Linked DNA regions of Callithrix jacchus. The protein of the gene in region 2 interacts with the protein of the main gene of each other region in a pairwise test. Links are inferred from orthologs where the notes say so. Each region holds a gene or a part of one and is shown on either strand. Other genes may lie near its edges.

Evidence for each region. The genes of interacting proteins can lie anywhere in the genome.
Region 1: the proteins of TRIM63 (region 2) and TNNT1 interact in a two-hybrid assay, tested with the Homo sapiens proteins (2 studies listed by BioGRID and IntAct). The link is inferred for Callithrix jacchus from reciprocal best matches to the Homo sapiens genes TRIM63 and TNNT1.
Region 3: the proteins of TRIM63 (region 2) and MYBPC3 interact in a two-hybrid assay, tested with the Homo sapiens proteins (2 studies listed by BioGRID and IntAct). The link is inferred for Callithrix jacchus from reciprocal best matches to the Homo sapiens genes TRIM63 and MYBPC3.

The regions. Positions count from the first base shown.
Region 1 is NC_133523.1:48,010,642-48,014,825, forward strand, and holds the start of TNNT1 (troponin T, slow skeletal muscle), read right to left. Parts: upstream 2,804-4,184; 5' UTR 2,752-2,803; intron 1-2,751. UniProt on the Homo sapiens protein: Troponin T is the tropomyosin-binding subunit of troponin, the thin filament regulatory complex which confers calcium-sensitivity to striated muscle actomyosin ATPase activity.
Region 2 is NC_133508.1:62,712,444-62,715,953, reverse strand, and holds part of TRIM63 (E3 ubiquitin-protein ligase TRIM63), read left to right. Parts: intron 1-1,277; coding exon 1,278-1,511; intron 1,512-2,384; coding exon 2,385-2,407; intron 2,408-2,707; coding exon 2,708-2,832; intron 2,833-3,510. UniProt on the Homo sapiens protein: E3 ubiquitin ligase. Mediates the ubiquitination and subsequent proteasomal degradation of CKM, GMEB1 and HIBADH.
Region 3 is NC_133511.1:112,407,861-112,412,005, reverse strand, and holds the start of MYBPC3 (myosin-binding protein C, cardiac-type), read left to right. Parts: upstream 1-1,342; 5' UTR 1,343-1,397; coding exon 1,398-1,422; intron 1,423-2,541; coding exon 2,542-2,808; intron 2,809-3,460; coding exon 3,461-3,574; intron 3,575-3,943; coding exon 3,944-4,042; intron 4,043-4,130; coding exon 4,131-4,145. UniProt on the Homo sapiens protein: Thick filament-associated protein located in the crossbridge region of vertebrate striated muscle a bands. In vitro it binds MHC, F-actin and native thin filaments, and modifies the activity of actin-activated myosin ATPase.

The DNA of each region.
Region 1 (4,184 bases), on a different chromosome or scaffold from region 2:
TGAGGGGGGAGGCGCTGGGGGCCTGGACTCCTGGGTCTGAGGGAGGAGGGGCTGGGGTCTGGACACCTGGGTCCGAGGGAGGAGGGGCTGCGGCCTGGACTCCTGCGTCTGAGGGAGGAGGGGCTGGGGTCTGGACCCCTGGGTCCGAGGGAGGAGGGACTGGGGTCTGCACTCCTGGGTCCGAGGAGGGAGAGGCTGGAGTCTGCACTCCTGGGTCTGAGGGGGGAGAGGCTGGGGTCTGGACTCCTGGGTCCGAGGGAGGAGGCGCTGAGGGTCTGGACTCCTGGGTCTGAGGGAGGAGGGGCTGGGGTCTGGACTCCTGGGTCCGAGGGAGGAGGGGCTGGGGTCTGGATTCCTGGGTCCGAGGGAGGAGGGGCTGGGGTCTGGACCCCTGGGTCCCAGGGAGGAGGCGCTGAGGGTCTGGACTCCTGGGTCCGAGGGAGGAGGGACTGGGGTCTGGACTCCTGGGTCCGAGGGAGGAGGAGCTGGGCTCTGGATTCCTGGGTCCGAGGGAGGAGGGGCTGGGGTCTGCACTCCTGGGTCTGAGGGAGGAGGGGCTGCGGCCTGGACTCCTGGGTCCGAGGGAGGAGGGGCTGGGATCTGCACTCCTGGGTCCGAGTGGGGAGGGGCTGGGGTCTGCACTCCTGGCTCCGAGGCGGGAGAGGCTGGGGTCTGCACTCCTGGGTCCGAGGGGGGAGAGGCTGGGGTCTGCACTCCTGGCTCCGAGGCGGGAGAGGCTGGGGTCTGCACTCCTGGGTCCGAGGCGGGAGAGGCTGGGGTCTGCACTCCTGGGTCCGAGGGGGAGGGGCTGGGGTCTGCACTCCTGGGTCCGAGGGGGAGGGGCTGGGGTCTGCACTCCTGGGTCCGAGGCGGGAGAGGCTGGGGTCTGCACTCCTGGGTCCGAGGGGGGAGGGGCTGGGGTCTGCACTCCTGGGTCCGAGGGGGGAGGGGCTGGGGTCTGGACTCCTGGGTCCGAGGCGGGAGGGGCTGGGGTCTGGACTCCTGGCTCCGAGGGGGGAGGGGCTGGGGTCTGCACTCCTGGGTCCGAAGGGGGAGAGGCTGGGGTCTGCACTCCTGGGTCCGAGGCGGGAGAGGCTGGGGTCTGCACTCCTGGGTCCGAGGGGGAGGGGCTGGGGTCTGCACTCCTGGGTCCGAGGGGGAGGGGCTGGGGTCTGCACTCCTGGGTCCGAGGCGGGAGAGGCTGGGGTCTGCACTCCTGGGTCCGAGGGGGGAGGGGCTGGGGTCTGCACTCCTGGGTCCGAGGGGGGAGGGGCTGGGGTCTGGACTCCTGGGTCCGAGGCGGGAGGGGCTGGGGTCTGGACTCCTGGCTCCGAGGGGGGAGGGGCTGGGGTCTGCACTCCTGGGTCCGAGGCGGGAGAGGCTGGGGTCTGGACTCCTGGGTCCGAGGGGGGAGGGGCTGGAGTCTGCACTCCTGGGTCCGAAGGGGGAGAGGCTGGGGTCTGCACTCCTGGGTCCGAGGCGGGAGAGGCTGGGGTCTGCACTCCTGGGTCCGAGGGGGGAGGGGCTGGGGTCTGCACTCCTGGCTCCGAGGCGGGAGAGGCCGGGGTCTGGACTCCTGGCTGTCTCAGGAGGACAGGCCCTGGTAGGTGTGGTCTGAGGCACAGCCCGGAGGCTGCAGACCCTGCCCCCCTCAGCACAGCTGTTCTCTTTTGTCTTATGACAAGCCCATGGGAACCTGATCCAGCTGGGATTAGGAGGAGGCATTTGAGAAGGGACAGTGGCCTGAAGACAATAGCTGCCCCACCCCCAGGAGCTATTTTGGGGGGATGTCGTAGATGGTGAAACAGAGGACATTTCCTAAGAAGGGATTTGAGGAAGGGGGGCTTCTGGGAGAGCTGGTCACCTGCATCCCTCTCCCACCCACCCCTCCCGCTGGCTGCTTTCCTCCCCACCTGTCTCCCCTTTCACCTTCCCATACATCACACGGGGCGGGGGGGTTGGGGCAGCGCCCAAAGGGCACCTTCTGTCCACAGACCTCACTCTGACCCCTACATTCTTAGACCCCGAAGTCTTCAAGACATCCTAGGCCACAGGGTGCCCATCCCCAAATCCCAATACCCATGGATTCTGAGACCTGGATTTTTGGTGCCTGTGTTTCTGAGACCACAAGTCCTCACAGCTCCAGATTCTGACAGCCCATTTCCTGATGGTCCACATATGGGCCAGGACATCCTAAGACCTCCTAAATTCTGAAGCCTCGAGAATATGAGACCCCCCCAAAACCTTGATACCCAAACTCGGAGGCCCAAATGATGACGCCCCAGATAATGACACTCCAGGTGGTGATGGTTTCTATCCTAAACCTCAGATTCTGAGGCTTCCACTCCTAAAACCCCAGATTCTGAGACCCCGCCCCAATTCCTGATACCCTCAGAGTCTGAGCCCCAAATCCTGATACCCAGACTGTTTGACCTCCAAGTCCAGATGTCCCTGACTTCTGAGCTTTCCCCCAAGACCCCCAGAACCCCAAGATCTAGGTGGTTTTATTCTGGGACACCCAAGTCCTGGCAGCCCCAGACTAGGATCTCTGTAACCCACAAATCCTAATATTTTCCCCTCTATCCCAAGTCCCCCTAAAGTCCGAGCCTCTCAAGTTCCGAGACCTCCAGTTGTATTCCCCATGTACCTCTGCATGATTTCTCCACACCCCACATCTTCCCCACCTGCCTCCTGCCCCCTCTCCCAAGGACACCGTCCGTGGAGATCACAGGGCCCAGCAGAGCCCCTTACCTATACCTAGGCTGCGTCTGAGATCCTGTGAATCTTGTGGCTGAGCCTCACCACGGGCACTGAAGCTCCAGGGGTTTTATAGCTGGAGGCTGGGCCCCGCCCCGAGGGGAGAGGGAGGAGGAGAGAATTCCTTTGCTCAAACACAAGTCTGGGAGCTCAGAGACAGCCCTGCTGTTCCTCTCGTTTTTCAAACTAAGGGTCCAAATGCCTCCGTGGGCTCCTCCCCAACCCCATCAGCGGGGCCCTGGAGCCCTGCTCCCACCCCCAGCCCCAGGCCCCCACGGTGCTCCAGCTACCTCCCTTATAGCTGCCTCCCTGCATTTGATGTCCCAACGTCCAGCACACAGTAGGTCCTTGGAGAACCTACTAATGACAAAAAGGCTATAAGGAATGTTTCCAGTTTTCCTCTCTGTTCCCTCTTTCTGGACCCGTTTCTGTGGTCTCTGTGGCTCTCCATCTGTGTATCTCTATATGTCTGTCTCTGCTGCTTAGTCTCCCCCTGTGTCTGTCCATCTTTCTGTCTCCCCACCCCCACCCCTTTGTCTGCCACCAGGATTCCATACTTGTGACAACAGGCACTAAAGCCAGGAAGCAGGTGTTGGGGGGAGGGGAGGGGAGGATGGGGTGTCAATTAGGGTGGAAACCTACCCTCTCTCCCCCCGTCCATCTGACACTGATCTTTTTTGGCATCCCCCTCCCTCTTCCCAGCCAAGCCACGACCTTGAACTCCAGGTTCAACCAGCCCTGGAGAGCAGACTTCCTCACCCTTCACGCCTCTCAGTGTCTGTCTCCTGTGGTATCAGTCTTTGTGTGTTTCTATGCATTTTCTGGGGTCCCTCGCTGGCTCTCTGTCTTGGGCTGTCTCTGAATCTGTCTCTTTCCGTGACCCTCAGTGTGTTTCTTGGCAAATGTCTCCAGGTGGTTTTGTCTCTGCATGTCTGCCCCTCTCTGCGTTTGTGTCTGTGGGGGCTCACAGTCTCTCTGTGCATTTCTGTCCACCTGAGACCCCATATCTGTGTGGGTAACCCCTTTCTGGGCACCAAGGAAGGAGAGCTAAGCAGACCCCCGGCACGATTAGTGCCTGAAGAATATCTTACTGCTCACTCCTCACTTATTTCCTTTTATATATAATCTCTTCATAGATAATCATGCCTTAGTTTGTAGTTGGAGGAATGTCTAGAGCAGACACACTGCAGAGCATGAACTAGGGAAAAACAGCCACACCAGGACAAGAATCAATGACCCAGGCGGTAGAGCCCCTGCCTGAAAGGGCAAGCGCTACGTGGCAGGTCTGCCCAGGTGGCAGCGTTCGGGTATGGTAATGACACCCGCTGTATGGCAGGCTTGCAGCAAGAGTCACTCCTCCTGAAAGGGAGTTGTAGTATCTTGTGCAGAGTTCTTGTGGAAAGCTGGCCTCAGGCTGGCAATCCCTC
Region 2 (3,510 bases):
GGTTCTCATTGAATCAGTTTGGAATGAGGAAAAACAGTTGCATTTCTAGCCAGTTCCCAGGATTTGTCCAAGCTGCTGGGTCCATGGACCACACTCTGAGTAGTGAGACTACTGAGGGCAGAAAGGAACTTTCTATCCCTGAAAAAAGCTTCCATGATTTTCCATGTTCACTTGGGTAGGGACCTGGAGATGAGATGAAGGAAAGGGGTCATGATAATTGCTAGTGGATGAAGAGTCAGGTGACGGGTAGGAAGGAGGGGAACGTTGTGATCACCCACAAGATGCTCCCAGTCTGATGAGATGCGATTGTCACAAGCACTTTACAGAAAAGAACTAAGCTGTAACATCTGTGACAGAGAGAAGGGAGCTTCCACTGAGAAGCGTATAGGAAAGGAGCTGTTTTTCCACCTCTCTTAGGAACAAATGATGCAGAGCTTCCCAAATCCAGTCTTGATCCTAAAAGGGAGGGAAGAGTGTGACCTGGGACATATGTGAGGCCCAGGAAACTGAATGGAAGCAAATACATTAATTTGCTGAAGGTCACACAACTAGAAGGGAAACACAGCTAAAAGACAAAAGAAAGCCAGGTGGGGTGGCTCACACCTGTAATCCCAGCACTTTGGGAGGCCAAGGCAGGTGCAACATGAGGTCAGGAGATTGAGACCATCCTGGCTAACACAGTGAAACCCCATCTCTACTAAAAATACAAAAAATTAGCTGGCTGTGGTGGCATGCACCTGTAATCCCAACTACTCGGGAGGCTGAGTCAGGAGAATCACTTGAACCTGGGAGGCGGAGGTTGCAGTGAGCTGAGATTGTGCCACTGCACTCAGCGTGGGTGACAGAGCAAGACTCCATCTCAAAAAAAGAAAAAAAAAAGGCAACAGAGGAAGAGAAGGTAGATCCCACATTGCTGACTGTTGCACTGGTCTGAGAGGTGGTGCTCCAATGACCAGCTGAGGTTGGGGGACAGGGGAAGGGTGCAGTAACAAGGCAGAACATGTTATGTCATGTGACCCTAGGGCCTGTTTTGGAAGAAGGGGCTAGCTGTATTTCAAGGCATTAGCCTCCAAATATCACTGGTGTACTAAGTAGCTGTGAGGCCAGATGAGTGTTTTCTTCTTGTTAAGCCTTTGTTTAATCTTCTGTAATGTGGGGATGTATGTAATGAAATCTCTTCTAGCTTTCAAAATTGCTTGCTACTGTCCCAGGAAGGGAGTGTAGGGGGCAGGGAGTAAGGACCCTACAGAATGTGACTGCAAGACTTCTGTCTTCAGGAGAACAGTCACCAGGTAAAGGAAGAGCTGAGCCAGAAGTTTGACACACTGTACGCCATCCTGGATGAGAAGAAAAGTGAGTTGCTGCAGCGGATCACTCAGGAGCAGGAAGAAAAGCTCAGCTTCATTGAGGCCCTCATCCAGCAGTACCAGGAGCAGCTCGACAAGTCCACGAAGCTGGTGGAGACTGCCATCCAGTCCCTGGACGAGCCTGGGGGAGCCACCTTCCTCTTGGTGAGCAGGACTAGAAGGGTCTGGGTGGAGTCAGTTCAACTCTACAGCTCTAAGTTTCCAGTTAGGCTTCTCTACTGACAACCCATGGACCCTTGGAAAAGTCATTTAAACCCCTCACTTTTCTCATTTGTATGAGAAAATGGGCATGTGACACCCCTACCTTCCTCTTACTGATTTTAGAATGATCAGAGGATGTTTATGAAATGACTTTGTAAGCTGCAAATAGTGTCCCATCTACAGACTATTAATTGAGCCCCTACTGTAGGCCAGGCACAGAGTAGAGGACAAGGAGATAAACCAGACACAGCCCTGCCCTCAAAGAGCTTGTTGGGGAGGACAGAAAAGTCTCAGTTGTAAGACTTCACAGTTCAGGCCGTGCACGGTGGCTCACACCTGTAATCCCAGCACTTTGGGAGGCCGAGGTGGGTGGATCACCTGAGGTTTGCAGTTTGAGACCAGCCTGACTAATATGGTGAAACCCCATCTTTAAAAAAATAAAAGAACAGTCTTCACAGTTCAGTTCAATAAACATTTTCTAAGCTTCTACTGTGGGCCAGGCTTTGTGCTAGACATTAGGTATGAAAAGGTGGTTAGGATTGGGGAGTTCAGGGTTTCAGAGTGTTTGGATTGATACCCCCAGAGTCTAAGCTTCCTGCCAAGACAATGGGAGGGTCCTAGGGTGATGACCAAGTCCTGTGCAGACCATGGACAGAGAGAAAAGTCAAATTCTGCTCAGTTTGGGGTGGGGAGCAGGTCACAACTTGGCTAGGGTAGGGCACCAAATGTCCAACTACAACACCCAGTCGCTGGTTTTGCTGATTTCCTGGAGTCCGCTTCTGTAGTCCTAACCCTTTGTTCTCTCTCCCCCTGCAGACTGCCAAGCAACTCATCAAAAGGTCAGTATCTCCCCAGAGGCTATGATCTAAGCCCCCAGTTCCCAGCATTGCCTCTGTCCAGAAAGCCTTGTCCTGAGCATTAGGTCTGCTGGAGGGTCTCGCTCCAGGCTGGCTTCCCTGACCTTCTGCATCCCTGACTTTTGGGACCACTCATTGTGCTTGAGATTTGAGAGGAAATACTCCATCCCTCCAGGGGAGCCTCAGGGTGGAAGGCCTGGGCGTGGGCAAGGCATGTGCCCTCTCCTCCCTGCGCTGAGCCCCAGAGATCTCACCCAGCCTCTCTCTATGTCTCCCCCACAGCATTGTGGAAGCTTCCAAGGGCTGCCAGTTGGGGAAGACAGAGCAGGGCTTTGAGAACATGGACTGCTTTACTTTGGATTTAGAGTACATAGCAGACGCCCTGAGAGCCATCGACTTTGGGACAGGTAAAGGAGGTGGTGGTGCCACTTGTCTATTTGCCTTCCTGATCCCTGGAAACCAGCATCTCTTCCACTGAACCCCATGGGGAGGCAGATTCACTAATAAACATCCCCAGATATCAATCAAATTCATATAGCCAACTTCTGTGAGGCTGGCTGTGGTGGCTCACGCCTGTAATCCCAGCACTTTGGGAGTCCAAGACAGATGGACCACTTGAGGTCAGGAGTTTGAGACCAGCCTGGCCAACATGGTGAAACCTCCTCTACTAAAAATACAAAAATTAGGCAGACGTGGTGGCACGTGCCTGTAATTCCAGCTATTCAGGAAACCGATGCAGGAGAATCACTTGAATCCAGGAGGTAGGGGTTGCAGTGAGCCAAGATCGTGCCACTGCACTCTAGCCTGGGCAACAGAGCCAGACTCCGTCTCAAAAAAAAATTCATATAGCCAACTTCTAGATGAGCCCAGAGCTAGCACAGTGGCTGGTGCAGAATTTCTGCTCCATAAATTACATATGGATCCATGGCAGGGAGGCCTCTTGGGGCAGTAGAAATAAGGTGGCCTCTGGAATCAGACAGTCTTGAGTTTAAAATCCCGGTTTTGCCACGTGTTTATTATCTGTGTGACCTTTGGCAGGCCCCCTTCTGCCTGAGTTTTATTTTCTAATTTAAAAAATCAGGTTA
Region 3 (4,145 bases), on a different chromosome or scaffold from region 2:
TTTGACCTCCTGGGCTCAAATGATTCTCCCGCCTCACCCTCCCAAGTAGCTGTGACAACAAGTGTGCGTCACATGCCTGGCTGATTTGTGTATTTTTGGTAGAGGTGGGGTTTCACCATGTTGCCCAGGCTGGTCTTGAACTCCTGAACATAAGTGATCTGCCTGCCTCGGCCTCCCAGTGTACTGAGATTACAAATGTGAACCATTTCGCCCAGCCCATTTTTATTTTATTATTATTTTTTGAGACACAGTCTTACTCCATTATCCAGGCTGCAGTGCAGTGGTATGATTTTGGCTCACTGCAGCCTCGAACTCCCTGGACTCAAGCCATCCTCCCACCTCAGCCTCCTACATAGCTGGTACTACAGGTGCACACCACCACACCTGACTAATTTCTGTGTGTGTATTTATTTTATTTTAATTTAATTTTTTGAGATGGAGTCTCACACCGTTGCCCAGGCTGGAGTGCAGTGGCATGATCTTGGTTCAGTGCAACCTCTGCCTCCCGGGCTCAAGGGGTTCTCCTGCCTCAGTCTCCTGAGTAGTTGGGATTATAGGTACGCACCACCATGCCCGGCTAATGTTTGTATTTTTAGTAGAGACGGGGTTTCACCATGTTGACCAGGGTGGTCCTGAACTCCTGACCTCGTGATCCGCCCGATCTGCCGATTACAGGCGTGGGCCACCGCGCTTGGCCTTTATTTTTTTAGTAGAGATGGGGTTTTGCCATGTTGCCCAGGCCGATCTCAAAAACTTGGCCTCAATCCACCTGCCTGGCTTCCAAAAGTGCTGGAATTGCAGGCATGAGCCACCCTACCCAGCCTAGCATTTTAAAAATGATAAACCCACTTCATAGGTTGACAATCCTGTGCAGTGGGTGCTGCTGTTACCTGCCCTGCTTTACAGATGAGGAAACCAGGTGCTTTGAGATAGAAGAGATGGCAGTGCCAGGACTCAGGGGCAGCCTGGCCCCAGGGTCTGTGGATGTGGCCACTGCCTTAACCGCTGGCAAGGATGCTGCTGACCCATCAGCCTCAGGGTTATGGGCCAAGCATGCTCCCACCGTACAATATGCTGTGAGCAGGACACACACAAGGCTTGGGGTACCCCCGAGGTTCATCAAGGGTTGGGGAGGCAGAAGCCCTTCTATTGTGCTTCGGGAGTAGGGGGGGGGAAGGAACAAGAGCCAGCCAGGGACAGCGTGGCCCTACCATCTCCCTGGAGAGACCTCAGCTCTCTGGAATTCATCTATATTTAGCAGGTGGCTGGACAAGAGGCAGATAAGCAGTGCCTGGGGAGGGGGGAGGTCTCCATATATAGTGGGAAGGACAGGACCCCACTCACTCCCTCTTAGGGTGGCCTGTGCCTGCTTGGTGCCTGGTGTGACGTCTCTCAGGATGCCTGAGCCGGGGAAGAAGCCAGGTAGCTCCGGGCCTGCGGTTGGGTCTAAGTGTGGGAGCAGGGGGTGTCTACAATTGGGGAGCAGGGCTAGGAGGGAGTTCTTGAGGGAGCTGAAGAAGACATGGCCACTGAGCCCCAGGATGGGTCAGCCAGTCCTCCTAGGTCCTTTTTTGATTCTCAGTTTCTTTCTCCCATCCCTCTGATGAGAGGTGAAGGTAAACCCAGGGTCAGGGACGCAGAGAGGGGACACAGCCAAGATAGGAAGCAGCCGGGTCAACTCAGAACTCAAAGGGACACCATCCCTGCCCCATTTCCTTCTCCTTCCACAGCAGGGATCCCCGCAGACAGAGCTCACAATTATGCGGAGCACAGCCAGGCTCACGCGGTGCCCTCAGACGAGTCTCCACCCACTCTGGGACTTAGTCTCCCAACCTGGGGACTGGGGCGGGTGTGGTGGTGGGTTGGTTCCTCCTGGTTGTGACATTATCTGCTTCATGAGCCTGTATGGTGTGGTCCCCATGTTGGGGGTGATACAGTCCCTCTTCTCTGAAAGAGGACAGTCAGGAGCCCCTGAACTCAGGCCAAGGGCAGGGAAAATCACAGCCCAGGGTCCTGGGCCTGGGCCGTGCCCTTACCAAGGTTGTCCAGGGCAGAGATCCAGGTCCCCATTCCCCAGTGCCCTCCCAGGCCAGCTTTATCTCAGTTGCTGATTCTCAGCCTGAGGTCCCTGGAGGACAAATTTGGCCACATTCCAAAAAGGCAGAGTTCCCTGCCCCCGCCAAGGGCCCCAGATGGTGGGGGAGGGGAGCTGGGCTCCTCACAGCTATCTCCAAGCTGGGAGAGTGGCATATCCAGGGGACACACACAGCACAAAAGTCTTGTGTGGAGGTCAGGACCACCGCCCTGGCTCTCCTGACTATAGGCTGTGTGATCTTGGAGGAGCCACTTAGCTTCTCTGAGCCTCAGTGTCCTCCTCTGAGAAATGACAGAGTAACTGCACCTACCTCGTAATAATACTATAGGAGTATTACACGAGGGGATGCATGGTAACTGCTTATCACAGTATTTACTAAAAGGGGCTGCAGGGGTGGGGTGCACGCCCCAGCTAGGGGCTGCTGTAGCCTCCATCTGGCCCTTCAGTCTCAGCTTTCAGCAAGAAGCCACGGTCAGTGGAAGTGGCAGCAGGTGGCCCTGCCGTGTTCGAGGCCGAGACAGAGCGGGCAGGAGTGAAGGTGCGCTGGCAGCACAGAGGCAGCGACATCAGTGCCAGTGACAAGTACATCCTGGCTGCAGAGGGCACACGACACACACTGACAGTGCGGGAGGTGGGACCTGCTGACCAAGGGGCCTACGCAGTCATTGCTGGCTCCTCCAAGGTCAAGTTCGAACTCAAGGTCATAGAAGCAGGTAAGATCCTGGTCAGCCTTCCCTGAGGTTCAGGCTTCTGGGGGGAGGGGCAGTGAGGTGCTTCTTCATCCATCCAGGGAACGGGAGGTGCTTTCACAATTTCTTGCCTTTGCTGTGGCTGTGCCCCCACACCCCCCACCAGGAACGCCCTTTCCCCTTTTCTGCACATGACCTCTCTAAGTACCCCCATATGCCACCCTGGCCTCCTAGCCATGCTGGAGGTGGGAGAGGTGAACAAGACTCAACCCCACCCTCCCCCTGCAGACCTCCCTGGGGAGATGACCAGGCACAGATGACACCTTGTGTGCCAGCAGGGAAGCCCTGCCGGAGGTGTGGGTGACAAGGCACACAGCCCAGTCTGAGGGGCTGCTCCAAGGCTGGGGCAGAGCTAGGGCAGGAATGGACCTGGAGCTGTTAGGGGCAGGTGCAGCGGATGTGGGGACTGATGGCTGGGGGCAGGGAGGAGAATGTGAGAGTCAGGCTGGCTCTCCAGCTCAGTATGCGCTGCCTCTGAGGGGCCCGGGCACTGGGGGTCAGACAGGACGGACTTTCCTCGTTCACAGCAGGCTCAGGGGTCCAATGCTCGGGAGAGAGAGTGTAGAGGGGTCTCTGGTTAGTGACTACACCACAACTCCCATCCAATCCCCTCCAGAGAAGGCAGAGGCCATGCTGGCCCCTGCCCCTTCCCCTGCTGAGGGCACTCAAGCCCCTGGAGAAGCCCCGGCCCCAGCTGCTGAGCTGGGAGGAAGTGCCCCAAGTCCTGAAGGTGAGAGGGGCAGGGAGGGGCAGAATCTGTGGGGAGGGGGTGTCTGGGGCAGGTCTCAAAAGCCTTTGCTTGACCAGGTAAGGTGGCTCAGGCTTATAATCCCAGTACTTTGGAGGCCAAGGTGGGTGGATCACTTGAGGTCAGGAGTTTGAGATCAGCCTGGCCAACATGGTGAAACCCCATCTCTACCAAAAAATTAGCTGGGCATGGTGGCACATGCCTGTAACCACAGCTCAGGAGGCTGAGGTAGGAGAATCGCTTGAACCTGGGAGGTGGAGGTTGAAGTGAGCTGAGACTGAGCCATTGCACTCCAGCTTGGGGGATAGAGTGAGATTCCGTCTCAAGAAAAAACAAAGCCTTTGCTCGCAGGGTCAAGCTCAGCAGCTCCCAGCGGCACCACCCCTGAAGCCCCCGATGACCCCATTGGACTTTTCGTGATGCGGCCACAGGATGGCGAGGTGACTGTGGGTGAGTGTGAGTTGCTGTGCCCAGCAGGGGATGGGAAGGGGGGCAGCAGGACACTCCCCAAGCCAGGCCTGTCACCCTGCCCTCGCAGGTGGCAGTATCACCT